7 linked regions of the Oryzias latipes genome follow. The protein of the gene in region 1 purifies or fractionates together with the protein of each later gene. This does not show direct contact. Links are inferred from orthologs where the notes say so. Each region holds a gene or a part of one and is shown on either strand. Other genes may lie near its edges. The genes, in order: grb2, map4k3, anxa2, inppl1, pik3ap1, dock1 and garem2.

Region 1 (4,024 bases):
GAGTCTCTCCTCCCGTCCCGCTCCTTTACGACTTTCACCTCACATAAAGGTCACAGGGCTGTACCTGCAGATCAGAAAAGACGTGGTGATCAGTTCGATGGTTGTTACTGCAGCTGAGACACTTCTAAACCAGTGGTTCTCAAATATGGGTATCCTCAAGGGTATTTGAAGGCATATTAAATAAAAAATAAAACATTAAATTTGTTATATAGTGCTTGATGACATACTAATCACATCCTGTCACCCTAAAAACTTAAACAATCAACTTAGTTTAAAAAAAAATCATTTTTGTATCTTCAGTAGTGTTTATGCCCAGGATTTCATTTTCTTTTCAAGAACCCCTCCAAAAATGAGATAAATTGCACAACTGTAAGGGCTTAAACTCTGATGAAAATTGTGTTTTAATTTACTCTTTTTTTTTCCCACTATGGAGGGCATAAATAAAGAAAATTAGGCTTAGAATTGCATATTGTGTAGTTATTTGTTCAAATCGCGTTGCAGACGAAAAAAGATTATGAACAAGCTTGTAGATGTGACGCAGACGCTACAGTCAGCAGGCTACAAGCTTCCTGCTCCGCTCCATTCTGATGCATCCACTTCCAGACAAATAGATCCGTGTACGCCTTCGTTTTCCTCCTCTGAGCTGGAATCTGGCTCTAAACTGTACGACTGGATAGCTCCAAGATTGTTCCCCACTTTTGATGCACCGCTAATGTTAGCTGGGGGTTGTGAGGGGCTGTAAGCTAGAGCGGGAGAGTGTAAACAAAGGGATGATGGGAAATCAAGGGAAGCTTACACCACACCCAACAGTTATAGCCACAACTCATAGGCAAACCTCTAATGAATTACTGACACTCTGTAGAATCGTTGTCCTAAAAAACGACTCCGATTTATTGATTTTGAATAAAAATAATATAATAAAAACACCAGTGGGGATTCTTGCAAATAGATCAAAAGATGATTGGAGTGGGACTTTAAGACATAAGGGCATATATGGAACAATGTTGTGCTTTGTACCCCCCCCCCCCCAGAGAAACCCTTTCCTCATTATTTCTATAAAAAAACAGAAAAAGGTGCTAGAAAGAAGTGGTTAAGAGGAAGAGGGAAAAATCCCCTTCTGCCATCAAAAACCATGTGTTGACAACCAATAAGAGGCAAATTTTTGACATATTACCAATAAGAAATTTAGACGAACCCGGTTCATGTCAAACAAACGTTGCACATACTTTTCCATGTTATCCAAAAATGGTTCATTTATGTCCTCAAAATGATCTCAAGATCTTCAATAAAGCGAACTTCCGCAGTTTTTTTTTTTTTTTTAACTTTAGTCAACAGTCAGAGAATTAGGAGTCACTCAATAACTAGTGACAATTCCCAAAGACCTTAATCTAAAGCTCCTGCAAAGATAAAGCACTGGTTAGCTTAAGCAGGGTTGACAGTGATACAGTAGCTAAAGTTGTCCAGTTAAATAGATAGAGACTCGTTATCCCGTTTTCTAATACTCTACCGGACAGCTTTGATGAGCTCACTCTACTACAACTCAGTACTTAGTAAGGTCGTTAAAGCTGACAGCAAGCCAGATGACAACAAAAGAACAACAAACACAGCGCCACTCAACAGGCTACTTTCGCCAATTAGCACATTTTTCCACGTCTTCCGGCGCCTATTAGAACTTGAGTCGGAATAAAAGCAATTCTCCAAAATGTAGTGTCTGTCAACGTGGCGCCGCTTCCTTTAGCATAAATAAGTAACGCAAATCCCTCCATAATTACATGCAGACAAAAGACTAGCAAAAAAAAAAAAAAGAATTAGAAAAAATCGGTGGTGATTTTAAAGTTAAAACGTTACAACAAACGAAGCGAGAGGCTAGTTTCAGGAGGTCCTGACTTTCGTCACTTTACATAGTTAAAACAGTTATTTTATAGACATGAACACGAAGGATGAAGTTTAATATTGTTTTATTTAACGACAACCAATTCTCATGATCGCGTCTTTAGGAGTGATGTAGTAGATCGAACCAATTCCAGTGAATAGACTGCGCCCACTGTTCTAGAACATTAGAGCTAGCATGCCAGCTAACGGTCGAGCAACAATAACTGCGGTGCGGTGTCATTATCAAACTTGCCCCAAATTTAATTACACCAACAACGATATCAGCGGTAACACCTGTAAAAAGCCGTGACCGGTTAAAAACGACGAGGCCGAACACAACTTTTATCCCCAAGTGCGATTACAAAATAGAAAACGTGAAAGGAAGAAAACATCTTTTTTTCCCTACACCGCAAAGCTGTTCGGTGCTAACTCAGAGTTAGCCTAGATATATCACCACTGAAGGCGTCGAGAAAATAAAAGTACAACTTTCACATCAGGAAAAGGCGACAAGATTAACTTACTGTTCACGATATTCCGTTTCAGATCGGTCTCCGTAATAACCCAAACGATATCGTGTAAACTAAGCTCTCCCTGCTTCCTATGGAGAGCAAACCGACGAGGAGGAATCGCTCACAGCCCGTTTTCGGAGCCTGAAGCTAGCTGGTAGCAGACGCTGCTCTCGACGTTTATTTCCGCTTCCTTCCACCGAGAGCTGCGGGGCTGTGCGGGCTGCTGGGACTGGAGCTCCTCCCTGTCAGCTCCGCTCGGCTCGTGAATCAGACAGGAGGACAAGTCTCCGTGACGGTCTGCCGCAGCGTCCCCAGTCCCACGGTGGATTGTTGAAGGCAGAGGGGAAAATTGGAAACACACTCGAGACTTTTGCGCAACTTCAAGATAATGCTACTCAAGTAGAATTACAGAAGTCATTGGTATAAAAAAAACTAAAAAAAAATAAAAAAAAAAAATAAAACGGCACGCAGTCTCAAACTTACGGAATCGGAAACATCAAAAAATAATTTTGCGCTAGTCTTACTGGTAAAACCTCTGCACTTATAGTTTTTTGGGAATAAAGAAAATCATTTCAGTTTCACTTATGTACGGAGCCCTGGATGTGACATTCTAACAAACAAACAAACAAACCCCACAACAAATTGTTACCTCAAAAAACGTGTACATGATTTAGTATTTCGTATTCACAAATTAGTATTTTATGGGCATTTTCAAAAAATTAGCATCTTGTGCACACAAAATAGTATTTTCTGGGTAAAATTGTGTATGTTGTGTGCACAATTTAGTGTCTTGTGGCCACAAATGAGTATTTTCTGGGCACAATTCTGTATTTAATGTGCACAAATCAGTATTACTCGGGCATAGATTTGTGGGCACACATTAGTATTTGTTCGGACACATTTGAATTTTGTGGCCAAAAATGTTTGTTTGTGCACACAAATTAGTATATTATGGGCAGAATTTTGTATTTTGTGCACACAAATGAGTATTTTGTTGGCACAAATTTGTATTTTCTAGGTACAATTTTGTATTTCATGTGCAAAGTGAGTATTTTATGTGCACAATGTGGTTTGTTTTTTTGTGCACACTATTTTGTGCACACAAATTTGTATTTTGTGGGCACAAATGACCATTTTGTGGCCACAAATAAGTATTTTCTGGATACATTTGTGTTTTTTGTGCGCACAATTTAGTATCTTGTGGCCACATATTAATATTTTCTGGGCACAATTCTGTGTTTTTTGCACACAAATTTGTATTTCCTGGGCATACATTTGTACTTTGTGGCCAAGAATTAGTGTTTTGTTTGCACATATGAACATTTTGCGGCTGCCTAATGTATTTTGTGCACCCAAATTTGCATTTCGTGCTCACAAATTAGTGTTTCATTGATGATACTAAGATATTACTTTATGTTCAGAAAATGCTACTTTACGCACAAAAAAATGCTACGTTATGCAAATAAAATTCTAATCCTTTGCCACAAATGATCAATTTAAGGTCACAATAATTTCTGCACCTTTGAGCAAAAATTTGACTCACGCCACATGCGCAACAGTCACCAAAATTTGCACACGCCTAGTCCTTGGAGAAAATAAATTTTGGGCATAGAGAACGACACCTCCCAAGACAATGACATCAC
Region 2 (4,154 bases), on another chromosome or scaffold:
AAGTTCTGCAGAACCTCCCATCAATAGATTCTAGTTTAACGACCTGATGGATCAGAGGGATGTGTACAACGCTCTGAAAAAAAGGCCGACATCGTGGGGAGGAGTGTTGCGCGTGTGAGAAGCGTGTCTGCAAAGGTTCAGCAGAGCAGACTGATATGTAACAAAGCACCTTTGTCACATTAAAGCAATTTACCTTCGTTCTGTTATGCTGACTCATCATCATCACTTTATTGTTTCTGGAAAGAATCCGTGTGTGCCCCCCCTTTTATTTTTAAAGCACCATTCAGGCTCCTGAACTGTTTAAAAGTACTGGAGAAGCTACATGTTGAAAATGAACCGCATTTTATTTTCTCATTCTTTGTTTTTTCTTATACTGAAAAATATTTTGTTGTGGAAATCAGACAATGTTGACCGTTTCCTTTCTATACTTTCAACTTACCAAAATAAAAGCACTATGAATTTGCTTTGGTAAACGCAACTTGTATATGAGATACAGTTGCAGCAGTGACGTGCAGTCAGGAGAGGCAGGTGAGGCTGTGCCTCACCTGTCATTATGGGAAGAAAAGAGAAAAAATAAATTCAATTATTATATTTAATCAGTAATTTGTGCTTTGCAGTCATTTTCCATTTAAATGGACCATTTTTGGGTTTTTTTTCTTTTCAAAATCGCTGAATTTCCGCATTTGCCGTTCAGATAATAAGAAGTGACGTGCGATGAGGCACCAGCCCGCTGAGCCTCACCTTGGATTGCGCAATACCTATGCAGTCAGACGGAACTGCTGTCTCTGTATGTCGGTTCAATCACTTGTACTATATGAGCTGAGTTTACATAATTTAGCAGATGTATATGATGTACAGTGTTTGTTTTTATAAATAACTGTATGTGAGGGACGTGTTTCTTGTGCTGAGCGCTAAACGCCGGCAAAAAAGCCGCTGGGTGAGGCCAGACATTCTCGTGCCTCATGTTAGGGGGCGCCGGTGAGCCCTGAGATTATGACGCTAAAAAACAATAGAAGAAGTGATACCAAGCGGCAAGTCATTTTCTTCAGAAGGAGCGGCGTATGGACTTTATTTACAAGTAAAGGTAAGACGATAATAACGTTTGTGTTTTTTTCTATGCTGCAGTTTGCATATGAAAAAAAAAACATGTTGAAATGATATTTTAAACAAAACACGTTAACTGTTGTCAATCAAATGGTGAATAAGTTACTCAGTATGGTTCATATGTTTGTAAATCTGACTGACGTCAGTGCCTTACCAGCCATTAACCTCACCGCACGTCACTGAGTTGCAGTGCTTAACATTGTGATCATTAACTAAACTGAATTTGACCATTTTATAACAGTGGAAGACATTAAAATTCAGGTAGAGTTTTTTCAAAGTCATATTTTTTTTTAAATAAATAAAATATGTTCAGGTAAAATATCACAATCAATCATATCGCCAGACTCTGGTCAATACACACCCCTATCTTAAACACATTTAGCCCATAGTGTTCACACTGGAAAAGCAAGGAGGGGCTTCTACTTCTCTTTCTTCTAAAACCTTTGCCTTATGGGTTAAACATTTGCATGATGGTTACACCATTGCCATGATGGGTAAACCTGTTGCCTGATGGGTAAAACCTTTGCCTGATGGGTAAAACTTTTGCCTGAGGTAAAATGGGTCAAATCTCGCCATGTTTCTGCACGTTTTTCCTCTAAACTGATTGTCCCACTCTTTTCTGCAGTCTGAGGTCTGACCTGAAGCCGTGGGGCCTTGCTAAACTGACAGCAGGAGCCTCCAAACTTCACCACAGACACGGCAGGGCCGAATCAGGGCTCTTAGGAACTTCTAAAAGTCACTGCGGACAGCAGAAGACGTTAAACACCGACTGGAGGCGATCATCTGACCGCTGTTGTCGTTATTGTTGTTGTTGTTGTGGCTTAACGCCTTAGCCGAATCAGCTGTCAGCCCAGACAGGGCAGAGAGGACATACTACTGGTATATTTGATTAAACTGGTGTAATATTTGCCTTTTCAGAGAAAATATTGACCGTTTTCAGTGTCTTCCATTAAGCAAATCCCTGCCTGATGGTACTAAAATTCACAAGAATCTGAGAAGCTAGCTGTTTTATGCTAGGACCCCTGTACCCATTTTCGGACAGCTTGAAGTTAGCCAAAACACAAAAACATTGATGGTTTTAGTTTCCCGATGAGCCCTTATATTTGCAGCTATAACATTCACGTATACTGTATCAACTTAATAAAAACATATCAACAGGAAGGGTTGCGGGAATAATGCGAATGGAGCAGCATAAAGTGGAGCAGCCATAAGCACAATTCAGCTCTGTCAATGCAACGCACATCGGAGTTATCCACGAAAACATCAGTTAGCCATTAAATAAGTTCAAAGTTGTGCTACAACAAAAAAGGAAAATTTAAATATTTTTAAAATATTTAATGTTTCCCCAAAAATTAAGAACGGAATACTATGAATTACTGTTTTGAGCTAGGTGTCCGAAAATGGAACCCCTTGGAAGCTCCCCTCTCTCTGCAGCGTTACCTTGTACACATCTCCGTAGGTCCCACTTCCTATCCTCTGGATCAGCTCGAAATCCTCCTGCGGGTTCCGCCGGGACAGGTCCATGCTGGAGTTCATCATGTCCTCTGCCAACTACGGCACCGATCGCGCGCGGTGGATGCACCCCCGACGAAGACGGTGAACGGATATTTTAGGAAAAACATACGGTGTCAAAAAATCTCTGCCTGAATCCAGTGTGAAGATCCAACATGGCTTCCTGCGCGGACTCACTGAGCATGCGCGGGGGATAAAAGTTGTTTTCCAGGGATGGTGCGTTTGAAGGCCCGTACACACCGGGACGAATATTCGCCAGGCGTTATTCGCCAGCGTTTTTCGCCACGTTTTTTGTGTTCACACCCAGGCGATTTTCGCTGACGATGAGTGGAGTGAACATGCAATTTCATTCCCTGACATTAGATGGCGCTTAATGTAAAACAGAAATACTCCTGTACACAAGGTGGCGCTGCGCAACTTTACGCTTCTTAAAGTCGCTTTTCACTCAGAAGAAGAGAGCAAGTATTTACACGCTTGTCAGAATCAAACAAAGAAAACATGAATATTTCAAGCACCAGTAGCTCCAACTGGTGCTTGGTTCGGGGATATTTTAGAATGTACGTCATTATTGCTTCGCGGCAGTGTAGACGCTACTTGGCGTCTATCTTCTTCGCTGGTATGTGTGCTCAGCAAGGCAGTTTTGTGTTTGAGCGCCCCCAAGTTGTGTTTTACTCTAACTTCAGAAGCTCCAGACACGTGAGCAAAAGCGCCATTCTCATTGGTCGAGTAGATTTCGACGCGACGCGTCGAAAAAAAAAACGAACCCGAGGCGTTTTTTTTTTTTGACGCTTTAACGCGTGGCGTTTTTTCGCGTCGGTGTGCACACTCTCGTTGGTGCCCTTTGTTTAGTCACGAGGCGTTAAACGTCGGCGAAAATCGCCGGCGAAATTCGTCCCGGTGTGAACAGGCCTTGAGACTGCAAATGCAGTTTATACAAGAATAACTCAACTGTAACATTTTATCGTATGATTTCATGATTATTTTATCTTCTTTATGGTTACTAAACTCAAAGCTTTAAAGGACAAGAAATTTCCAGAATTTGAGATTAAAAATTGCAGCAGTGCACGATATTCTGATGGGATGAAGTAGGAAATAACAATAAAATATTTCAAACGTTTGTTTTTAAGAACAAAATCAAATTAGTCTGAGCCAAAGTTTAAGCATTCATTGCTAAACCACAGCATCAAGATTTTTTTTTACTTCAGAAAGTATTTTTTAATTTTTTTAAACTTTACATAACATTTCTCTTTTTCCAAACTTTATATATATTTTTAGTTGTTTTGCTTTTTACTTTACTTTGTGATGTTGCTTTTTATTCCTTTACAAAGGGTTTTAGATTTATCTTTTTTTTTACTTACTACTACTTAATAATTATTTAAAGTTTTTGTCAAGTAAACATACAATTTTTAAGTTTTTTTTAGTTCACATAGTATTTTTAGGTCATGTTTTACTTTACATATTATTCTTAGATTTTTTTACTTAACATTGTAGTTTATTCTTTTTACATTGAATTATTAAGTTGTTTGCTTTTTTACTTT
Region 3 (3,500 bases), on another chromosome or scaffold:
AAGGCAACATGACAACCACAGGTCCAATGGAACACGACAACCACAGGTCCAAGGCAACATCACAACCACAGGTCCAAGGCAACATCACAACCACAGGTCCAATGCAACACGACAACCACAGGTCCAATGGAACACAACAACCACAGGTCCAATGCAACACTACAACCACAGGTCCAATGGAACACAACAACCACAGGTCCAATGCAACACGACAACCACAGGTCCAATGCAACACGACAACCACAGGTCCAATGGAACACAACAACCACAGGTCCAATGCAACACGACAACCACAGGTCCAATGCAACACGACAACCACAGGTCCAATGCAACACGACAACCACAGGTCCAAGGCAACATCACAACCACAGGTCCAATGCAACACGACAACCACAGGTCCAATGGAACACAACAACCACAGGTCCAATGCAACACGACAGCCACAGGTCCAATGCAACACGACAACCACAGGTCCAATGCAGCACAACAACCACAGGTCCAATGGAACACAACAACCACAGGTCCAATGCAACACGACATCCACAGGTCCAATGCAACACGACAACCACAGGTCCAATGGAACATAACAACCACAGGTCCAATGCAACACGACAACCACAGGTCCAATGCAACACGACAACCACAGGTCCAATGCAACACGACAACCACAGGTCCAAGGCAACATCACAACCACAGGTCCAATGCAACACGACAACCACAGGTCCAATGGAACATAACAACCACAGGTCCAATGCAACACGACAACCACAGGTCCAATGCAACACGACAACCACAGGTCCAATGCAACACGACAACCACAGGTCCAAGGCAACATCACAACCACAGGTCCAATGGAACACAACAACTACAGGTCCAATGCAGCACAACAACCACAGGTCCAATGGAACACAACAACCACAGGTCCAATGCAACACGACAACCACAGGTCCAATGGAACACGACAACCACGGGTCCAAGGCAACATCACAACCACAGGTCCAAGGCAACATCACAACCACAGGTCCAATGCAACACGACAACCACAGGTCCAATGGAACACGACAACCACAGGTCCAATGCAACACGACAACCACAGGTCCATTGGAACACAACAACCACAGGTCCAATGCAACACGACAACCACAGGTCCAATGCAACACGACAACCACAGGTCCAATGGAACACAACAACCACAGGTCCAATGCAACACGACAACCACAGGTCCAATGCAACACGACAACCACAGGTCCAATGCAACACGACAACCACAGGTCCAATGCAACACGACAACCACGGGTCCAATGCAACACGACAACCACAGGTCCAATGGAACACGACAACACCAACCAGAGAGCGCTAAAGACACTGGAGAAGTTCATACAGAAACATTTTTTCTGCAGATGACTGTCTATTGAAACTTATTTATGAGACTGATTTAAAGCTCAGAAATGAAGATGATCAGTTTTATCTGCTGACTTTTCAGTCTTCTGCAAGCTGAGCCGCTGTCAATCACTCATTCTGTATACGGCTGGACCAATGAGACGTCAGCAGGAGGTCAGCCGACTCACCTGGGACTTGAACCGACAAATAGGACGAATGAAAGTGAAGCTGAAAAAGGGACAAAAACCAGGTTTAAACCAAACTGAAACTAGTCTGAAACTGAGCTTGAACCAGGTTAAACCCACCGGAAACTAGTCTAAACCAGACTGAAACAATGCTGAAACCAAGCCAAACCAGGCTAGAATAGGCTGAAGCCAGACTTAAACTAGTCTAAAACCAGGCTGAAATTAGACTGAAACCAGGTTAAAACCAGGCTAACGCGTTCTCCACAGGCATCCCGTTGGTTGGACGTACCCAGAGTGAGGAAGGACTTCTCCAGATCTCCTTTCACCTCCTTCTTGATGCTCTCCTTGATGTCGTAGGGACTGTAGCTCTTATATCTCTCAAACACTTTGAAGAAACAAAACTTTTTTTACCTTCAGTGTTTAGAAAATGAACCAATTACAAAAACACACAAATATTTGCTTTGCTCGTGTTTCTGAAGACAAAATGCCTTTAAATCAGGACTTTGTTGTTCAGAATGTTGTTCTGAAAGCTTCTTCTTCTGTCACTGTCACTTATTTTTTCTCCTTTTCAGTCTCACCTTTCTGCAGATGTGGGACGCTCCGCTGCGACATGATGGAGATCCAGGTGGTCACGTCGGTTCCTTTCCGTTTCACGCCGGCTTCGTACAGAGACTGAGGAGGAGACAGAAGACGGACGGATGCTGAGAGTTTCCAACAACCGGCGGTCAGCATTTGATCCAGCCTGGAGGAAAGCCGCCTCACACGGTACCGGAAATGTCTGTGATGTTTTTATTCTAAGCCCAGAAAAAGTTTTTCTTCTCATCATGAATGAGTTTGATGATCCGTTTAGCCGTCGTCTTTATCACGTTGAACTTATTTCATGAAAAATGTTTCGTTTCAGGCTCAGTTTGTTTGTCTGTGAAGCTCTAACAGAAAAAAAATACAGATTTTATTTTGAAATGTCAGATCTACTCTGTGGTGACGTTAGCATGAAAGTTTTATTTTGTAAATAAAAAAGTGACCGCAAACACGCTAGCTGGCAGAAACGGCGTAGGATCCACTCACTCTGGCGTCTTCGTCGATCTTCTGATAGTCCACAACGTTGGAGGGTTCGTCTCTTCTTGTCTGGAAAAGTTTAGGGTCACAAGGTCAAACATACATAGTGCTAAGAGATTTTCAAAATCAAAGCACAGCTTCGTGGACAGGATTTTACAGGTTTGACAGGTCAAGATTTTCTTAACTATAAGATCAGGATATTCTGTAAAACGAGTTGATTTTAACGATTGTATTTTTAAATGTAATCAGAAAATGACAAAAAAACGCAGTGCAAGGAAGCAAAAAAAGGAAAGATATTTAAAAAAATGTGATCTTCTTTTAAATCATTATTTCAAGATTGAAAATTGTATTGACTTTTTTTCAAATGAACCTTTATTCAGTATATTACCATGTTAGCATGTTAGCATGTTAGCAGGTTTCCGTGTTCTGGACGTACCTGAACCAGAGCCAGCAGCAGTTTGGCGAAGTTCCCTGACGTGTCTCCGGCGATGTCTTTCTCCACCTCCTTCTTAAACACTGACAGGACACAGACGGCGTTGATGCTAACGCGTTTTTAAACCCAAGTTCTCACATTTTGGTTCATTTGAAGCAGAGAACTGTTGAACTCACTCTCTCTGTACTCCTTCTTAATCTCCATCAGCTCCTCTTCGCTCCTGGAGCAGAGCATCTCGATCAGAACCTCCTCATCAGTTCCCAGACCCTGAATCCAAACAGAGAAGCCCATCTATGAAGCAGCACTGAGGTAAAGACGTCACACGACTGGGTGTCACACAGGATTCATGTTTAGCACATTTCTAACAACACAGTCAGCCTCTTCTCCACGAGCCTGTAGCCACCGTTTAACCGCTTAACCTGATGAACCTCGAAACACATTGGTCT
Region 4 (3,500 bases), on another chromosome or scaffold:
TTTTTAACCAAAATCAAAACTCAGTGTCATTTTCTAGGTCATAGTTTCTGCAGAGCGGCAGTACCGGTAGTCAGCGGCATTAGAAATTCACCTGTGAGTTGTGGTCGGGACTGTTGGCGTGGACCAACCCCCGCCTCCTTCCCATCACTCTCCAGCTATCTTACAGCCCCTCACGCACCCAATCTAAGATTACTGGTGCAACAAAAATGGCAAGCATAATTGGAGCTATCCAGCTGTAGAGTTTGGAGCCATATGCCAGCTCTGACGAGGAAAACAAAGACGTACATGGATCTAGTCATCTACAATTGGATGCATCACAATGGAGGAGAGCAGGGAGCTTGTGACCTGCCCACCGACCAAAAAGCTTTCTTTTGTCTGCCTGAGTCACAATGATTTGAATAAAGAAATAATCAGAAATGCAATTTTGAACTTAAATTTTTTAGTAAATGTCCTCCATCATCAAAAAAATACCACAAAAACATATAAAAAAACAAAAACAAAAATTTTCATTGTTGTGGGTCTAAAAAGCAAAAAATGTGTCGCTTTTCTGGTTTCTGTGCATCATTTTCTTCCCTCTTTTTGTTTAAATTTAATTAAAAAAATCTATACTAAGAGTTGCAAAAACTTACAAAGGAATCTCTCACTTTCAATCATTACAGTATGACTGTAAGACTGTTTGTGGGTAAACATTTCTCTTCCTGAACAACAGGAAATGACTAAACTCATGCCAGGATGATTCAGACTGAGTTATCAGCTAATATTCAACCTCACTTATTTGCTCTTTCCTTCACTCTGGGCTCCAGCCCATTTAAAGTTCATCTATTTTCTGTTATGTGAGGCTCCAAGTTCAGCTTTTGTCTCCCGACTAGAATGTTCCTAATATTTCTCATTGAAACTATTTTTCCATTCTCTATGGAAAAATGCCATAAACCACTGAGGCATCAGCTGTGAGGAACAAACCTTCAGTGACAAAAGCAATCATCAGCTTAAATTTAAAGTTGCTTAAAACCCTTGTGCTATCTTAGATGACCCCACCCTTACATTGACGTGTTCTCCCTACCATGACAAAGGTGGATAAAGGTGGAAAGATTTCATGTAATCCATGGACACCAGTGAAGATCACAAATCATTGAAGAAAAAAGGTTCAGAGCACTGTCTAGTGGGTCTAGATGACCCAACTCCCAACGTTAAAGTGCCTAGGATAGCACAAGGGTTACTGATCTTTAAGATTCTGTTTACTGAAAAAAAAAAAATATATGACTCAATCCTGCACCAGCAGAATCTATAAAACATTTTTCATGAGCGCTTCAGAGCATTTTAGTGGGATATAAGTATTTTGCAAGATACAGAGCTCCACCCCCACACGCAGATTACTACTAATGAAGCGCACAAGCGTGCACGTGTGAGTTTGTACGTGTTTACCTCAAAAGCCTGAACAGGAATGGCTTTGCTGTGACGCATGGAGAAAGGAGGAGGAGAGCAGGGGGAGGACAAGCTCATGTCCTGTAGTGCTTTCAGAGCCTGAAGGGACAAAGAGAAAGTGTGTGAGTGTGGGGGAGTGGACAAACAATATGAGAAAGAGCATAAGGAAACACAAGAGGCTGCAAAAGGACAGGGCATCGGTGAAAGAAGGGAAAATGCACTGTCATGGTCAGCTCTAATGGGTTTAACGTCAGCATTTCCTTTGAGAATCAGGGAAGGAAGACCTATTTTCATCACATGTCCAGACATGCAGCTTCCCTGCACTGGAGGCCATCTCCCCCAGAGCCCACTGAAGACTTCCATGTGATGCTCTGCAGTCTCAAGTGTGTGTTTAACAAAGAAACAACTTCAAATGTCTTCAACTTAAACCAATCAAAGCTTTGATCAAGAATCCCTCTGGAGCTGACAGCATGTTTCCAGCTAAACTGGAGAAAGAAGTCAACCTAAAGGGAATAGATGAAGAATATAGAGAAATAACTTTAAATAATGTGAAATGCTGAAGAAATCAGTAGAGCCCGTTAAAGTGGAACACCAAGGATCCAAATGGGGATAAACAAAGGTTCGGAAATAGATGGTAAAATAATGCTAAAGCCCAAAAATCAAAACACAGCAAAGCGGCCTAGAAAAAGCAGAAAAAGCAAAGAGAATGGAAAACACTCAGACTAAGGATGAAGTATACCTTTTTCTCGATGGAAGACAACAGGTCTTTCAGAATTGCCAACTTTGTCACCAAGTTTTCCAACTCCTGGTCTCCACCCTGGTTCACTGACTGATGGATTAAGACAGACACACAGAAGCCACTGCTGTGAGAACATGGCAATTAAAGAGGTCAACTAAAATGTCACTTCAAACAATTTCTCTATAGTAATTACAGAGAGACAAAAAGTGTTTGTTAGTAAGGATTATGAGTTTGGTCTGTAATGTTCATCATAGAAACACTTACACTGTGAGAGACAGAACGTAAAAAAAGAATTCAGGTAATCACATTGTTTGATTTTTAAATAATTTATTTGTTTGACGTTGCAGAAAATAAGAATTTATCTCCAACAAACAAACAAACAAAAGATCTGTCCCTAAGAAGTTCTTGTACCCTCCACTTGTTACCTGTTTTAATATCAACTTTTTGAAGTGGTTATCTGGATAAAAGACACCTGTCAACACCCTGAAACAGTCAGACTGAAACCCCTCCACCATGACCAAGACCAAAGAGCTGTCAAAGGACACCAAGAACAAGATTGTTCACCTGAACAAGACTGGGATGAACCAATCTACAATAAGGAAGCAGCTTGGTGAGAAGAGATCAGCTGTTAGAGACATTATTAGAAAATGAAAGACATACAAGATCACTGACAATCTCCCTCCACCTGGAGCTCCAAGGACGATATTAATGGTCTTGAGGTGGAAACATCATGCTTTGGGGCTGGTTTTCTACAAAGTGGATAGGACAACTGATCTGTATAAAGGAAATGAGAAATGGATCCATATTTGCTGGGATTTTGGTCAAAAACGTCCACCCATCATTAAAAAAATTGAAAATGAAACATGGCTGGATCTTCCAGCGTGACAATGATCCCAAACACATCACCCAGGTAACAAAGGAGTGTCTACGTAAAAAGCATTTCAAGGTTCTGGAGTGTTCTAGCCTTTAGACCACAATCCAAAAAAGAATCTGCAAAGGGAGTGTAATGTCAGTGTTGCCCAACAACAGCCCCAAAACATCACTGCTTTTGAGAAGATCCGATTGGAAGAATGGACCAAAATAGCAGACACAGACCTACTAAAGACCTGCCAGAAACCTTTGACCTCGGTCATTGAGACCAGGGTTACATGAGAAAGCATTAGGGTAAACTTTTGTTATATTTTCTCCTCATTTATACAAATGATTTATTTAAAGACCAAACAATGTGATTTCCTGGATTTGTTTTTACACTCTGTCAGAGTGGAAGTTTATTTAAGATGAACATTACAGACCAAACTCATCTCTTTAGGTGGGACTACTTGCAAATATTTTATTCTAC
Region 5 (4,292 bases), on another chromosome or scaffold:
TGAACACATGAGAAGAATCCATGTTAGATGTTTTTAACAGCAATTTTCTAGAATGTACTGAGAAAAGGTCAAAGGTGGAGCTTCCAGGCATGAAGATGGCGGCGTACCTCACACTGAACTCTGCTGGGCTGAACAGTCAGACAGGTGAGCTGTTTGGATGGATTCACCTCAACACCTGAACGCTCCTCATGGACACTTTCTGGATCTGCTGCTTCACCGGAGGCGTCCTCAAGCGTTACGGCGAAGGGTGGCTCCACCGCAGCCGTTACCGCCAGGGGCGGGTCCACCGCAGCCGTTACGGCCAGGGGCGGCTCCACCGCAGCCGTTACGGCCAGGGGCGGGTCCACCGCAGCCGTTACCGCCAGGGGCGGCTCAACCGCAGCCGTTACGGCCAGGGGCGGCTCCACCGCAGCCGTTACCGCCAGGGGCGGCTCAACCGCAGCCGTTACGGCCAGGGGCGGCTCCACCGCAGCCGTTACGGCCAGGGGCGGCTCCACCACAGCAGCTTCATTTGCACATGCGGCCTCGGCTTGTCTGCCTGTGAAAACATCAAACTCAATCAGATCATTGCTTTTGACCAAAGTCACCAATAAAGACGTCTATCTGACATTTCTATGAAGCTGTCACGCTAACCTGTCTATACGCTGGAAAGAAACACGCTCCTGATTTGTTGTAAAAGGAAACAGACAAGTCTCGCCTCTTTTCAAGAGAACTGAATGAAGCCTGGTGTTTTATAATTCTCTGGATCAACTCTGAACCCATCAGAACAGAACCGCATGAGTCCGAGACACAAAAGAGGGGAAGAGAAACCAGTCGGCAAACGTTTAGTTTGATCAGATTCTGTCCCTTCGGTCCCAGAGAGCTCAAGCTTTAAATTGATGCAAAGGCATGTTCCAGAATGAGTCACTGGGGGCTCAGCAGGCTCACAAACACCAGGTCCAGTTCCAGAAATGTGGTTGGCAACTCCTGGGGGGAAACTGACGACCCGTGAAGTGGGATGGGTGGGGCTTATGGCGTGAAAAAAATGTTACAGCTATGTCTGAAATTCAGTAAATGCAGAATTTTACCTGAACCGCTGTGAAAGTTCAAAGTGGCCCTAAAGGGCAGATTGTTTTGGTGGACCCCCCCCCCCTCCCCCCTCCCCCAGTGCTGAGTAGATGCTGGTTGAAGCAGCCACCCCCTTCAAACGTGGCAGAGCGCCTAAAGAGGAAGACCTGTGATGTGTTGGTAACCAAATGTTTCATGACTGCAGAAACACGACTGAAAGGGAGAACAGACAAATACGGGAAGCAGGAAGGGCCAAATTCAGAGAAGTTCCATACTGTCAGTCACTGCAGCCATGATGGTGGAGGCATAGGTTAGAGCCTCATCTTCAGCAAAGATCTTCCTCCAGCTGCTCCAGTCTGTGAAGGCGTCCTTCGGCAGATCCTCCTCACCCACCCCACAGAACAGCACCACCACTCTGTGGGGGGGCTGCAGAAGACCCTGAAGGGCTCGCTGCAGGTTCTGCTCGTGCATCATGTCCAGGAAGACTCCAGAAAGGAGCAGCACCACGCATTTGCAGCGTTGGAAATGTACAAAGTTGTACTGGTGGAGCAGATCGGCCGAGCTCAGAGCATACAGCAAAATGGACCTTCTGTGGAACTTGTGAGATTTCAGGACCTGCTGCAAATACATGGCCCATTCATGCGCTTCAGAGGTGTACAGAATCAGAACCTCACATTTGGACTCCAAATCATCTGTGAGACAGAGAAGATCACAGGGTTGTTAGCAGAACATCGTCATTATGAACTCCTCAGATCAGTCTGAACACCAGGATGGACCTCAGTCCCCTCAGGACTGATGTGCTGGGTTCACGGAGCAGCAGGTCGCGTCGGCGTGGCGTGGCGTGCTGCGGTCCCTGAAGGTGACTCTGATGGAAATGTGGGAGCAGGGCCAACAAGTAGTAGAGCAAACATGACAGAGTTCTGTAACCTCTGGTCCCGTCGTTTAAATTCCCCTTCACCTCAGCTAAACGCTAACGAACCAGAAGAGTCCCCCCCTCCCCCCATCTGACCAGCCGGTGGAGGGAAAGTCTTAGCAAAAAAGAACAGATGAGTCAAATTTAGACTGTCGGAAATTTGTCATGAGCTCAGCTGAAGCACACAGGATGCTAACGTGTTCAGTTCCTCTTTTCTGGACGTTCACGTTTCACAGAAAGTTTAAGGCTTAAAGATGAAAAAAGTAAAAACGTTTCATGTTGATCAGCAGAAGCTTTGACTTTTGATGCAGAACTCAATTCCAACTGAAAACAGAGGCAGAGAGGGGGGGGGGGGGTCTTCCTACCTGCGTTGGTGCTGGACATGGATTCATTCATGGCTCTGGAGTCAAAGGGGTCCAAATCAGTCCAGAACGGGCATCCTAGCAGACGGAACTCCTCTGGAGCTTCTTTTGTGAACGACACGTCACCAGCTTTCCCCTGCCAGAGCTCTTTGCTGCTTGTATAAATAGCAGCTGTTAATTTCCTGATTTTGGTAGCTCAGCCCCACTTCCTGAAACAGTTGAAGAAGTGAGAAAATACCCCGCTTACAGGTCTGTGAGTGTAACATGTCTGCAAGTGTGTTGAGTCCAAACTGATTTAAAGTGAAGGAGGGGCCTAACAAGGGGGGGGGGTATGACACAAAGAATCAAAAGTTAACAGAAGACCTCAGAATCGGAGCAAACAGACCCCTGAAGACCCCTTTGCTCTCAAAAGAGTCGCCCAGCGGGGAAAAGGAAACACATTTACCTGTGGTGGGCGTGAGCAGCATGTTTGTTCTCACTTCCTTAAAAAGGTGCAAAGTTTCAGAAGAGCAGGACCATGAATATTTGGACAGAGACACATTCTTTCTAATGTAGTTTCTGTACATTACCAAAGTGAATTTTGAATAAAACAACTCAGATGCCATTGAAGTGCAGACTTTTAGCTTTTATTCTATGGGTTGAACAAAAAGATTGCACAAGATGTGAAAAACTAAAGCATTTTTTAAACACAGTCCCTTCATTTCATGGGCTCCTAAGTAATTGGACAATTGAAATAACTGCAAACAAAATGTTCATTCCCAATATTTGGTTGAAAAGCCTTTGTTGGCAATGACAGCCTGAAGTCTTGAACTCATGGACATCACCAGATGCTGGTTTTCTCCTTCTGAATGCTCTGCCAGGCCTTTACTGCAGCGGCAAACAGTTGCTGTTTGTTTGTGGGCCTTTCTGTCTGAAGTTTAGTCTTCAACAAGTGAAATGCTGCTCAAGGGTTCAGATCAGGTGACTGACTTGGCAATTCAAGAATATTCCACTTCTTTGCTTTAATAAACTCCTGAGTTGCTTTGGCTGGATGTTTTGGGTCGTTGTCCATCTGGATTATGAAACGCCGCCCAATCAGTTTGGCTGCATTCACCTGGATCTGCGCAGACAGGGCTGCATTCACCTGGATCTGCGCAGACAGTATGTCTCTGAACACCTCAGAATTCATTGGGCTGCTTCTGTCCCGTGTCACGTCATCAATAAACACTAGTGTCCCAGTGCCACTAGCAGCCATGCACGCCCAGACCATCACACTGCCTCCACCGTGTTTTACTGATGATGTAGTGTGCTTTGGATCAGGAGCTTCTCCACGCCTTCTCCAGACTTTTCTCTAGCCATCGTTCTGGTAGAGGTTGATTTTGGTTTCTTCTGTCCATAGAATGTTTTTCCAGAACTTTTTTAGATGCTTTTTAGCAAAGTCCAATCTAGCTTTCCTATTCTTGAGGCTTCTGAGTGGCTTGCATCTTGCAGTGTTCCCTCTGGGTCTACTTTCATGCAGTCTTCTTTTGATGGTAGGCTTGGATATTGATCCGCCTCCCTCCTGGAGAGTGTTGTTCACTTGGTTGGCTGTTGTGAACGGGTTCCTCTTCACTGTGGAAATGATTCTGCCATCATCCACCACTGTTGTCTTCCATGGACGTCCAGGTCTTTTTGCGTTGCTGAGTTCACCAGAGCTTTCTTTCTTTCTCAGGATGGACCACACTGTTGATGTTTCCACTCCTAAAATTGTAGCAGTTTCTGGTTTCATGTTTTTTTCTGTTTTCTCAGCTTAAAGGCCTGTTCACACCGGGACGAATTTCGCCGGCGATTTTCGCCGACGTTTAACGCCTCGTGACTAAACAAAGGGCACCAATGAGAGTGTGCACACCGACGCGAAAAAACGCCACGCGTCAAAGCGTCAAAAAAACGCCTCGGGTTCGTTTTTTTTTTTTGACGCACCGCGTCAAAAACTACACGACCAATGAGAACGG
Region 6 (4,259 bases), on another chromosome or scaffold:
ACCTTTTCCAGGTTTTATCCTACTCCTTTCACAAAGACAGCTGGGATGGCACCAGTTGCTCAGCAACGCTCAACAGGATAAAGTTGTAGTAGAAAGTGCTAGAATTTTTTTTGACATTCTAAATATATAAATATACAAATAAAATTATAAATAGAAATAACATTTGTGCCACCACTTACTTGGAGGGTGAAAGTTAAAATTTTGGATGGGGTCTAAACTGTCTTGTGATCAAGGTTGACTTTTTGACAAAAGATGTACTGTAATGAGTTTGAAAGTGGGAGCTCCCTCTGCTGGTTGAATGCTAACATGACATCTGTAGGTGAGGGAAGTCATGGGGGCGTGGGGTCATAAACTGAGGCAGGTATTCTAAATTTATGGACAAAGAAGGAATTAAATGTACTATAACAAAGAATTTTACATTCATAGATTACATTAACAGAATTTTGTTACTGCCTCAGAGAGAAAGAGTTTCAGTATCATTTAAGCCAGAAGCCCATCTAAGGTCCTTTCGATTTATTATTATACACAGATAATGAAGAAAAAGGTAAATAATGAAAGAAAAAGCTGTGGATAAACAGGACAAAAAAACTGTATTTTTTAAACATGACCTAAAACAAAAAGTAAATGTCAGGGTTTACTATGTATTTAACTCACAGAAGCTGTTAATTTGAAATCATTTTTTATAATGAACACTGATTTTATTTCACTGTTTTACTACTGTCAAATAAAAACAATTAGTCAAATAGGTAATATTCTTGGAGATTATTATATAGTTCTTTTGACAGACTGGCGACCTGTGCGGTGTGTCCCCTGCCTTCGGCCACAAGTGGCCGGGACAGGCTCTGGCAGCCCTGTGACCCCGAAAGGGAATAAACGAAAGGAGATAAATAAACGAATTATTAAATGTTTAAATCAGTTTTACTCTCTCTTTTTCACTTTCGTTTACCTAATCTCTCATATAAAGTCAACATTTTTTGAGTGTATACTTTAAAAAATATAAAAGCACTTAAAAAAAAGTTTTAAGCAATAATTAAAAATGAGAGACATTTTTGGTTTTGGCATGACATAAAACTGAAGGCACTGATGCAACTCTCAAATGCTGTTAATTTATTTTTTATAAAGAATAATACATTTACTATTGAAAATGTTCTTGGATTTTTAATTTTCTAAATTAGGTTTTCTTACCTTTTTTATTTTTAAATTAATCCCTCATATAACAACATTCGTTTCAAGTGTAAACTTTTTCAAAATAAAAGCACCCTTTAAATTTTTGCTAAAACCTTTTAGGCAAAATTACTAATGAAATACCTTTTTTTGTTTTGGTATATCATAAAACTGATGGTTTGTCTTCAGGAATGTGTTTGCTTTTGAAGAAATATGTCTCAGCTCGTCATGACGTAATTAGGATCGGGCCGCAGTTTGTTTGTAAGCACCAGGACTGCCTGAAAGAGGTTTTTGCTCCGCCTCGCCCCCTGCCGGCGCGTCCCGTCACTGATGGAAAATGGCTGCTCGGAGCAGCTCTCCAAATCTGGGAGAAAACTGAACAGAAAAGTCTACTTTACAACTAAGCAAACACACCTGGAGTTTTTCTAACTGGCTGAACGGCATCTCAGGGACGCCTGAATGATCAGAATGTCTCGCTGGGTCCCCACGAAGAAGGAAAAGTATGGAGTTGGTACGTAAGAAAACTTCCATCGCTAGCTCGTCCCCCTAGCCCTCTGCTCTCAGAAGTTCAGGGAAGAATTGTGATTAGAAAACGAGAGTGAACGGTTCTCGCCGGGAGGTTTAGAGGATTCACGGGCTCGCATTTGACTAAACTGGAGGAATGCCAATGATTCTCGGGGACACTTTAGTTCAGCGCTGGTGGTTTGCATGGGACGGTCGCATGTCTGCGGGCGTCTTTTGTGAGGAAGAGGACCGAGTGTGGATTGGGAATTGTTAGAGGCGCGCCTAGTCGGAGCGGCGCCGTTTCCTGTGTTTTGGGGCCTCCGCCACAAAACTTGAACGACTTTCGAGCCCAGTTTGATTTGTGACTTGGAATAATCCGCGCTGTTGGTGTTGACGGCGGGGTCCTACAGGGTTGGAGTCTGCTCAAATGCTGGTGTTGTTAATTTTCTCGAGTTCCGCTGTCACGTTCAGCCTCCACTGTCGCTCCAAAGACCCACTCCGAGGAAAAGGATGGTTTTAACATGTTGTTGTTTCATTTTTCTGATGATGGAAGACATAAATGGAAAATATGAAGAGTATTTATTTTTTCAAATCGTTGTGAATCAGGAGCAGATCCATAAAAAAAGAGCACGTGTGTGTGTGTGTGTGACGCAGAAAATAAATACGCATCGCATGGCTTACTACTCCATTTTTCTGATGCATCCACATGTACACACATGGATCCATGTACGTCTCTGTTTTCCTTATCCATCTGGCTCACAACTACACAGCTCCAGTCTGTTACAGTTGGGGGAAGGGGGGGGGGGGTATGGGCTGTAAGCTAGCGGGAGAGAGTGTAAACAAAGGGATGATGGGAAATGGGGGCAGGCTTACTTCACGACTGCATATGCAATGTCATAGAAAAAAACTAAGATTTTTTTTGATTGTGGCTAAAAATGACAGTCATAATTAAAAGACCACCGGGAACTTAAAAAAAAAAAAAAAAAACATTGATCGGACAATCGGATTTTGACTTTAAAGGAACAAACATCACAAAGAGCGTCTGGTGCTGGAAATACTGAGCTTGCATGCAACAAGCTCATGTATAAGTCATTAAATTTAGTGATTTAAAAAAAGCCAATCAAGATATAGTAAATAAACCTTTAAATGCACAAGTACATACTTCTGCATATGTAATAAAACGGTAAATACAACCTAAAGGTCCCTTTTATGTGACACTATGAAGGTCTATTTTCGAGCCATGAGGCTTTCTGTCAGATGGTTTTGATCTTCACCACTTCTCTATAGTCCTTCCTGAAAGTTCTGCAATGAATATTGTGTGTTCTGATGAACACAAACACACACACACAGCTCCTTAATTCAATAGAATCAAACTCACCCATCTGTTTACACACTCTTTCCCCCTAGCTTTAAAGCCCCTCACACCACCAACCTAACATTACCGGTGCAACAAAACCGTATAGCTTTGACCCAGATAGTCAGTCTAGACGAGGAAAACAAAGTCGTACTTGGTTCTATTTGTCTACAAGTGGATGCTTTAGAATCCACCGGAGCAGGGAGCTTGACGTACTTTCTACATTTTTAACTTAATTCTTTAAATACATGTCCTCCATCATCAGAAAAAAGTCTCAAGAACATGTATAAAGCACAATTTTCATCGGAGTGGGTCTTTAAGTAGGATCACCATCTGCTCCTCTTGTATGCCTAAAATGACTGATTCTTTACTTTTTCTCATGTTTTTGGCCTATTGTTGTTTATCTTCTAGTTTTCCTTTTTTTGGGTCCTGCTAGTGTTTTAAAAAAAATCTTTTATCCGTGTATTGCTTGTCAGTGGTGTGTTGAGTTTCTTTTTGGTTATCTGCAGGGTTGTTTCTAAGGCAACAGCCCCATAAACTAGTCCTTTATTTTTTGCTAATAGCCATATTTTATTAGGATTTTTCCCAATACTTTCCCTCTTGCACTCCATGTAACACGTGCCCATGCCTGATAATAGAACCGTTTTCAGCCACATAGGGTGATGCTGATGCTGACTGATGGGCGATTTTAACAGGTTACTCTAAAACCTGAGCTTGGACTTTTAATTGAGCTCTTGTATTTTCAGTCCAGATTGTGCTGCTAGATGGAGCATTTGTGAGTTTTTTTATTTGTATGTGGCTCCCAAAACTATGCAAACCTAGATGCTAACGATTTTCTTGTTATTTTCAAAATCCTCTTAGGGCTCTTTCAGTGCACGAGTGGGTGAGTCATTAGTTGAAAGAGAGGCAGCTGCCAAATTATGGTGACGGAAGATTGTTGGGGCATGAAGCTTTTTTTTTGTGTTTTTATTTTTTTTCCCCCTTCACTTTTCCAAACTTCACATGTTGACCAAGTAGCACTAATGAGCGCTGTGTGAGACCGGTCACGCTGTCGGTGCTCACTCTGCATCCATTTCCGTTTCAGCCAAACTTTTGTCCTGCTATTTAAAGGCTCTCATAATGGTCCCCAAGGCTTTGTTAGCGTACGTGTGAAAGATTTCCCTTTTATCCTTTCTCAGCAGTATGAATGACAAATGTTGCTGTCCTTATACATAGTGTGTCAGGGATTTCCCCGCCC
Region 7 (3,500 bases), on another chromosome or scaffold:
CGATCAAAGGGGTTCTGTGGTGGTCGAGATGGAACAGAGACATTGACTGGGAGGCGAACTCTCTCTATGATGCTCCGTACTGTGTGCTCTCCTCCCAGCATGCCTTGCTCCAGGGGAGAACGTGTGCAGAAGCGTCCCCGGCAGCCAAAGGGCAAGCTGACACTCTGATTGGTGCGATGGTTCATGCAGACCAGGCAGGGAGTTTTACCTGAAATTCCGAAAATCAAACAAACGTTTTAGGACACTGAACCTTCAGTAATGCCAGATTATTAATGGTACATTTTTTAAGGATGGTTTGTTGTTACAGCAAATGCCTTCTTCCAATCAGGAAGAAGGGATTTTGAATTGGTACATGGCGGTCTGTCAGTCAAACAAGGTTGGGTGTTATTGTTAATATGCTAATGCTAGCTGTCGGACTGTTTTTTTTACATGTTGCTAGGAAGGTTGGGAGTCAGCAAAGTCAGGAACGTTTATTTTAGTGGTTTCAGACTGTTTTAATACAGGTTTCAAACAAGTTTGAGAGTAATGGTAGTGGGAATATGCTAACGAGGCTAATTCTACTTATGTGGCTAACATGTAGCACATTGCAAACAAGTTTGAGAGTTAATAAAGACTGACAGACCTATGGCTGACTCTTTTGTCTCGCTTAATTCGCCTTTTAGTTTGGTGAGCCACATGACAAAGTTAGACCATTCATTGACGATGCGTCTTATGGTCCAGCTGCGCTCTATAGTGCAGACAATACTGTGAAATGCTTCTACTGACGAGAAGGAAGAAGGATGGGACAAAATGTTTCAATCATCAAATGTTTAGTGGCAGGTTGGATGTGGATCAAGAGAAGAAAAATACATGAACCCCATAAATTATTAAGTTAGCGTCCACAAATTGTAGCCAGTGTGAGTTCTTATATTTGAAATAATATCCATGGTTGTTTTAATAGACGTTACAAAGCACCAGAGTGTGTATATGTGTGTTTGTGAGGCCTATAGACTCAAATATTAAGAGAAGACATGGAAATAACAGAATTTCTGAGGATTTTCGACCTACTTCTGGGAGTCTTGCCTAAACGTCGGAGAAGCATGCTCAATCCGATCTTTTCCTTTGGAGAAGTGGCGCAAAGAAGCTCCGCCTTCCCCATGAGTGACAGCTCATCTCCAGCCTGCAGAGTGAAACTGTAGGGCTCACTGTCCTCACTGAACTCTCCTGAAACCACCTGGAAAACGTGAACACGGGAGATGTGGAACTGCGGAAGGACTTTTCAGGGAAATGTCGTAAATCAACCTGCTGCTGGTCAGCGTTTTTTTGGATTCGACTGACCTTCACGCTGAAAGTGATCGTCTCCAGGACAAAGACACGGTCGGGGAAGATGGCGGCAACTTCCTCTACGCTGGAGAAATACTGTACAGGATCGCTGACGTCCCGGTCTTCATCCAGCAGCTTGAACTTGCCTGCAAAGAAGAAGACCGAAAATTTAAAGACCCAATCTGATCATCTTTTGAGTCATTTTAAAAGTTTTCCAGTGGTCTTTTAATTACCGTATTTTCTACCACCTAAGCTGCACTAAAAGGCCTTCATTTTTCCCCCCAAAACACACCTTATAATTCTGAGGGCCTCATATAGGGAGATTGTGGCCCGCCCAGCATAATTTTTTATGTCACATTTACAGGCTTTTTCAAACAACATTCTTTGTCTGCTCCTGGTTGACAACAATTAGAATACAGAAATACTCAGAAAGGCAATTTCAATCATAATTTTCCTAATATATTTCCTCCATCATCAGAAAAATGCTACAAGAACATTTTAAAACACTAAAAAGACCATTTTCTTTGGAGTGGGTCTTTCAAAATAGCAACTAATTGGAAACAGTTTGGACGTGAAAACACTGACACTTATTTGACCTCTGACCTGGCAACGCCTCTTAGCCGATCGACAGCCGAAAGAGTTGGCATGGCAACCAATAAAAGACCTTTATTCTCACGCTGAGCAGAGGCCTGTCACCATGGAGACACTCACATCCTCAACTCTCTTCTTTTACCATCTCTTTACTTTTCCTTAAGCTCAGACTGTTTTGTCAAAGCTGTTAATTATGGTTGGCTTTTATCGACCGCAAACGAGTCCTGACAAAAGGATTGATTCACCCAAGTTCACAAGTTGCAACAAAAGCCGGTCTTTTCTTGTACTGTCAAAGTGTTTAGGGCAGAATATCAAACCCCTCCCAATCCAAACAGGATCCACCTTTCAGCTCAACCAAAACCCACCCACCCTGCTTTAAAAAGCAAACAAAGTTTGACAACAAATTGGAGTTCAGCTTCACAATCCACAGCACAGTACAGGGTGGGTTTCCTTCATTATCATTCAGCTTTTTCGACCTTCACACTCCTCCCAGTGAGGCAGGATGAAGAGTCAGAATGAGAAACAGGGATGCATCCTGTTGTCCATCCCAAGGAGTCAACCTATATCTCTCCCATCCTAAGCCTGTTTAGACTTCCTGTATGAAGTCATCCCAGAGACATTAGCTCATCTCTGCATGGAAACACTTTGTGTAATTAAAAACATGGTTTTGTTACTTCACCAGAGTTATGCAGTACAACAGACATGTCAGGGATGTGCCCCTCGTCCGTTAAGATGAAAAGTAAAAGCACTCTGTTTGCTAAGAGATTTATCTGTAGAAAACTTTGTTGTTTATTTAAAAAAAATAAAATAAACAAAAGAAAAAGGATGAAACCAAAGGGAGGCCAAAATGAGAAACTCCATAATCTATAGAATAAAGTCAAAAGGTTTTTGTAGTTGGTAAATATAAAGACCCACTCTGAGGAAACTGGTGTTCTTGGTGTTTTTGACATGTTCTTGTGGACATTTTCTGATCATGGAGGACAGATAATAAGCTAAAAACTGCATTTCTGCATAAATGTGTATTCAAATTATAGGGAATCAGGAGCAGATGGAAAAATGCTGTTTGACGGACATCTTATTTGTGACGTAAAAAATACGCTGGGCGGGCCACAAGCATCCTGCTCCGCTCCATTTTGATGCATCCAATGTCAGAAAAATAGATCCATGTACGTCTTTGCTTTCCTCGCCTGAGCTGGAATCTGGATCTAAACTGTAGGACTGGATAGCTCAAGCATTGCTCGCCATTTTTGCTGCACCATTAACGTTAGGTTGGAGGTGTGAGGGGCTGTAAGCTAGCTGAAGATCGAGCTCTCAGCAATTGCTCTGCATAAACAATCCAGCCCACAACTCAAAGGTGAATTCTTGGAAAATAGATCAAAAGGTGATTGATGTGGGTCTTTGACGCGGTGAAATTTCTGTTCTCCTAAATATTCCACGGTCAACTGTCAGCTCTATCAGAACAAAATAGAAGAGTTTAGGAACAACGGCAACTCAGCCACCAAGTGGTAGACCATGTAAAATGATGGAGAGGGGTCAGCGGATGCTGAAGCACAGAGTGCAAAGAGGTCACTGTCTTTCTGTACAGTCAATTGCTGCAGAGCTCCAAA

Evidence for each region.
Region 2: the proteins of grb2 (region 1) and map4k3 purify together in Homo sapiens (affinity purification with mass spectrometry; 4 studies listed by BioGRID and IntAct, with this or other methods). This does not show direct contact. The link is inferred for Oryzias latipes from reciprocal best matches to the Homo sapiens genes GRB2 and MAP4K3.
Region 3: the proteins of grb2 (region 1) and anxa2 purify together in Homo sapiens (affinity purification with western blotting; 5 studies listed by BioGRID and IntAct, with this or other methods). This does not show direct contact. The link is inferred for Oryzias latipes from reciprocal best matches to the Homo sapiens genes GRB2 and ANXA2.
Region 4: the proteins of grb2 (region 1) and inppl1 purify together in Homo sapiens (affinity purification with mass spectrometry; 3 studies listed by BioGRID and IntAct, with this or other methods). This does not show direct contact. The link is inferred for Oryzias latipes from reciprocal best matches to the Homo sapiens genes GRB2 and INPPL1.
Region 5: the proteins of grb2 (region 1) and pik3ap1 purify together in Homo sapiens (co-immunoprecipitation; 4 studies listed by BioGRID and IntAct, counting the BioPlex papers as one, with this or other methods). This does not show direct contact. The link is inferred for Oryzias latipes from reciprocal best matches to the Homo sapiens genes GRB2 and PIK3AP1.
Region 6: the proteins of grb2 (region 1) and dock1 purify together in Homo sapiens (affinity purification with mass spectrometry; 5 studies listed by BioGRID and IntAct, counting the BioPlex papers as one, with this or other methods). This does not show direct contact. The link is inferred for Oryzias latipes from reciprocal best matches to the Homo sapiens genes GRB2 and DOCK1.
Region 7: the proteins of grb2 (region 1) and garem2 purify together in Homo sapiens (co-immunoprecipitation; 4 studies listed by BioGRID and IntAct, counting the BioPlex papers as one, with this or other methods). This does not show direct contact. The link is inferred for Oryzias latipes from reciprocal best matches to the Homo sapiens genes GRB2 and GAREM2.

Annotation. Positions count from the first base shown.
Region 1 is NC_019866.2:20,759,507-20,763,530, forward strand, and holds the start of grb2 (growth factor receptor-bound protein 2), read right to left. Parts: upstream 2,801-4,024; 5' UTR 2,394-2,800; intron 65-2,393; 5' UTR 1-64. UniProt on the Homo sapiens protein: Non-enzymatic adapter protein that plays a pivotal role in precisely regulated signaling cascades from cell surface receptors to cellular responses, including signaling transduction and gene expression.
Region 2 is NC_019873.2:10,879,515-10,883,668, reverse strand, and holds the start of map4k3 (mitogen-activated protein kinase kinase kinase kinase 3), read right to left. Parts: upstream 2,801-4,154; 5' UTR 2,644-2,800; coding exon 2,545-2,643; intron 1-2,544. UniProt on the Homo sapiens protein: Serine/threonine kinase that plays a role in the response to environmental stress. Appears to act upstream of the JUN N-terminal pathway.
Region 3 is NC_019861.2:37,467,895-37,471,394, forward strand, and holds part of anxa2 (annexin A2), read right to left. Parts: intron 3,322-3,500; coding exon 3,231-3,321; intron 3,138-3,230; coding exon 3,058-3,137; intron 2,691-3,057; coding exon 2,631-2,690; intron 2,238-2,630; coding exon 2,144-2,237; intron 1,951-2,143; coding exon 1,855-1,950; intron 1-1,854. UniProt on the Homo sapiens protein: Calcium-regulated membrane-binding protein whose affinity for calcium is greatly enhanced by anionic phospholipids. It binds two calcium ions with high affinity. May be involved in heat-stress response.
Region 4 is NC_019871.2:21,842,837-21,846,336, reverse strand, and holds part of inppl1 (phosphatidylinositol 3,4,5-trisphosphate 5-phosphatase 2), read right to left. Parts: intron 2,252-3,500; coding exon 2,162-2,251; intron 1,522-2,161; coding exon 1,423-1,521; intron 1-1,422. UniProt on the Homo sapiens protein: Phosphatidylinositol (PtdIns) phosphatase that specifically hydrolyzes the 5-phosphate of phosphatidylinositol-3,4,5-trisphosphate (PtdIns(3,4,5)P3) to produce PtdIns(3,4)P2, thereby negatively regulating the PI3K (phosphoinositide 3-kinase) pathways.
Region 5 is NC_019873.2:30,009,751-30,014,042, forward strand, and holds the start of pik3ap1 (phosphoinositide 3-kinase adapter protein 1), read right to left. Parts: upstream 2,801-4,292; 5' UTR 2,357-2,800; coding exon 2,326-2,356; intron 1,740-2,325; coding exon 1,323-1,739; intron 539-1,322; coding exon 108-538; intron 1-107. UniProt on the Homo sapiens protein: Signaling adapter that contributes to B-cell development by linking B-cell receptor (BCR) signaling to the phosphoinositide 3-kinase (PI3K)-Akt signaling pathway.
Region 6 is NC_019877.2:11,960,515-11,964,773, forward strand, and holds the start of dock1 (dedicator of cytokinesis protein 1), read left to right. Parts: upstream 1-1,459; 5' UTR 1,460-1,623; coding exon 1,624-1,675; intron 1,676-4,259. UniProt on the Homo sapiens protein: Involved in cytoskeletal rearrangements required for phagocytosis of apoptotic cells and cell motility. Along with DOCK1, mediates CRK/CRKL regulation of epithelial and endothelial cell spreading and migration on type IV collagen.
Region 7 is NC_019882.2:19,108,771-19,112,270, forward strand, and holds part of garem2 (GRB2-associated and regulator of MAPK protein 2), read right to left. Parts: intron 1,449-3,500; coding exon 1,318-1,448; intron 1,214-1,317; coding exon 1,048-1,213; intron 209-1,047; coding exon 1-208. UniProt on the Homo sapiens protein: Probable adapter protein that may provide a link between cell surface epidermal growth factor receptor and the MAPK/ERK signaling pathway.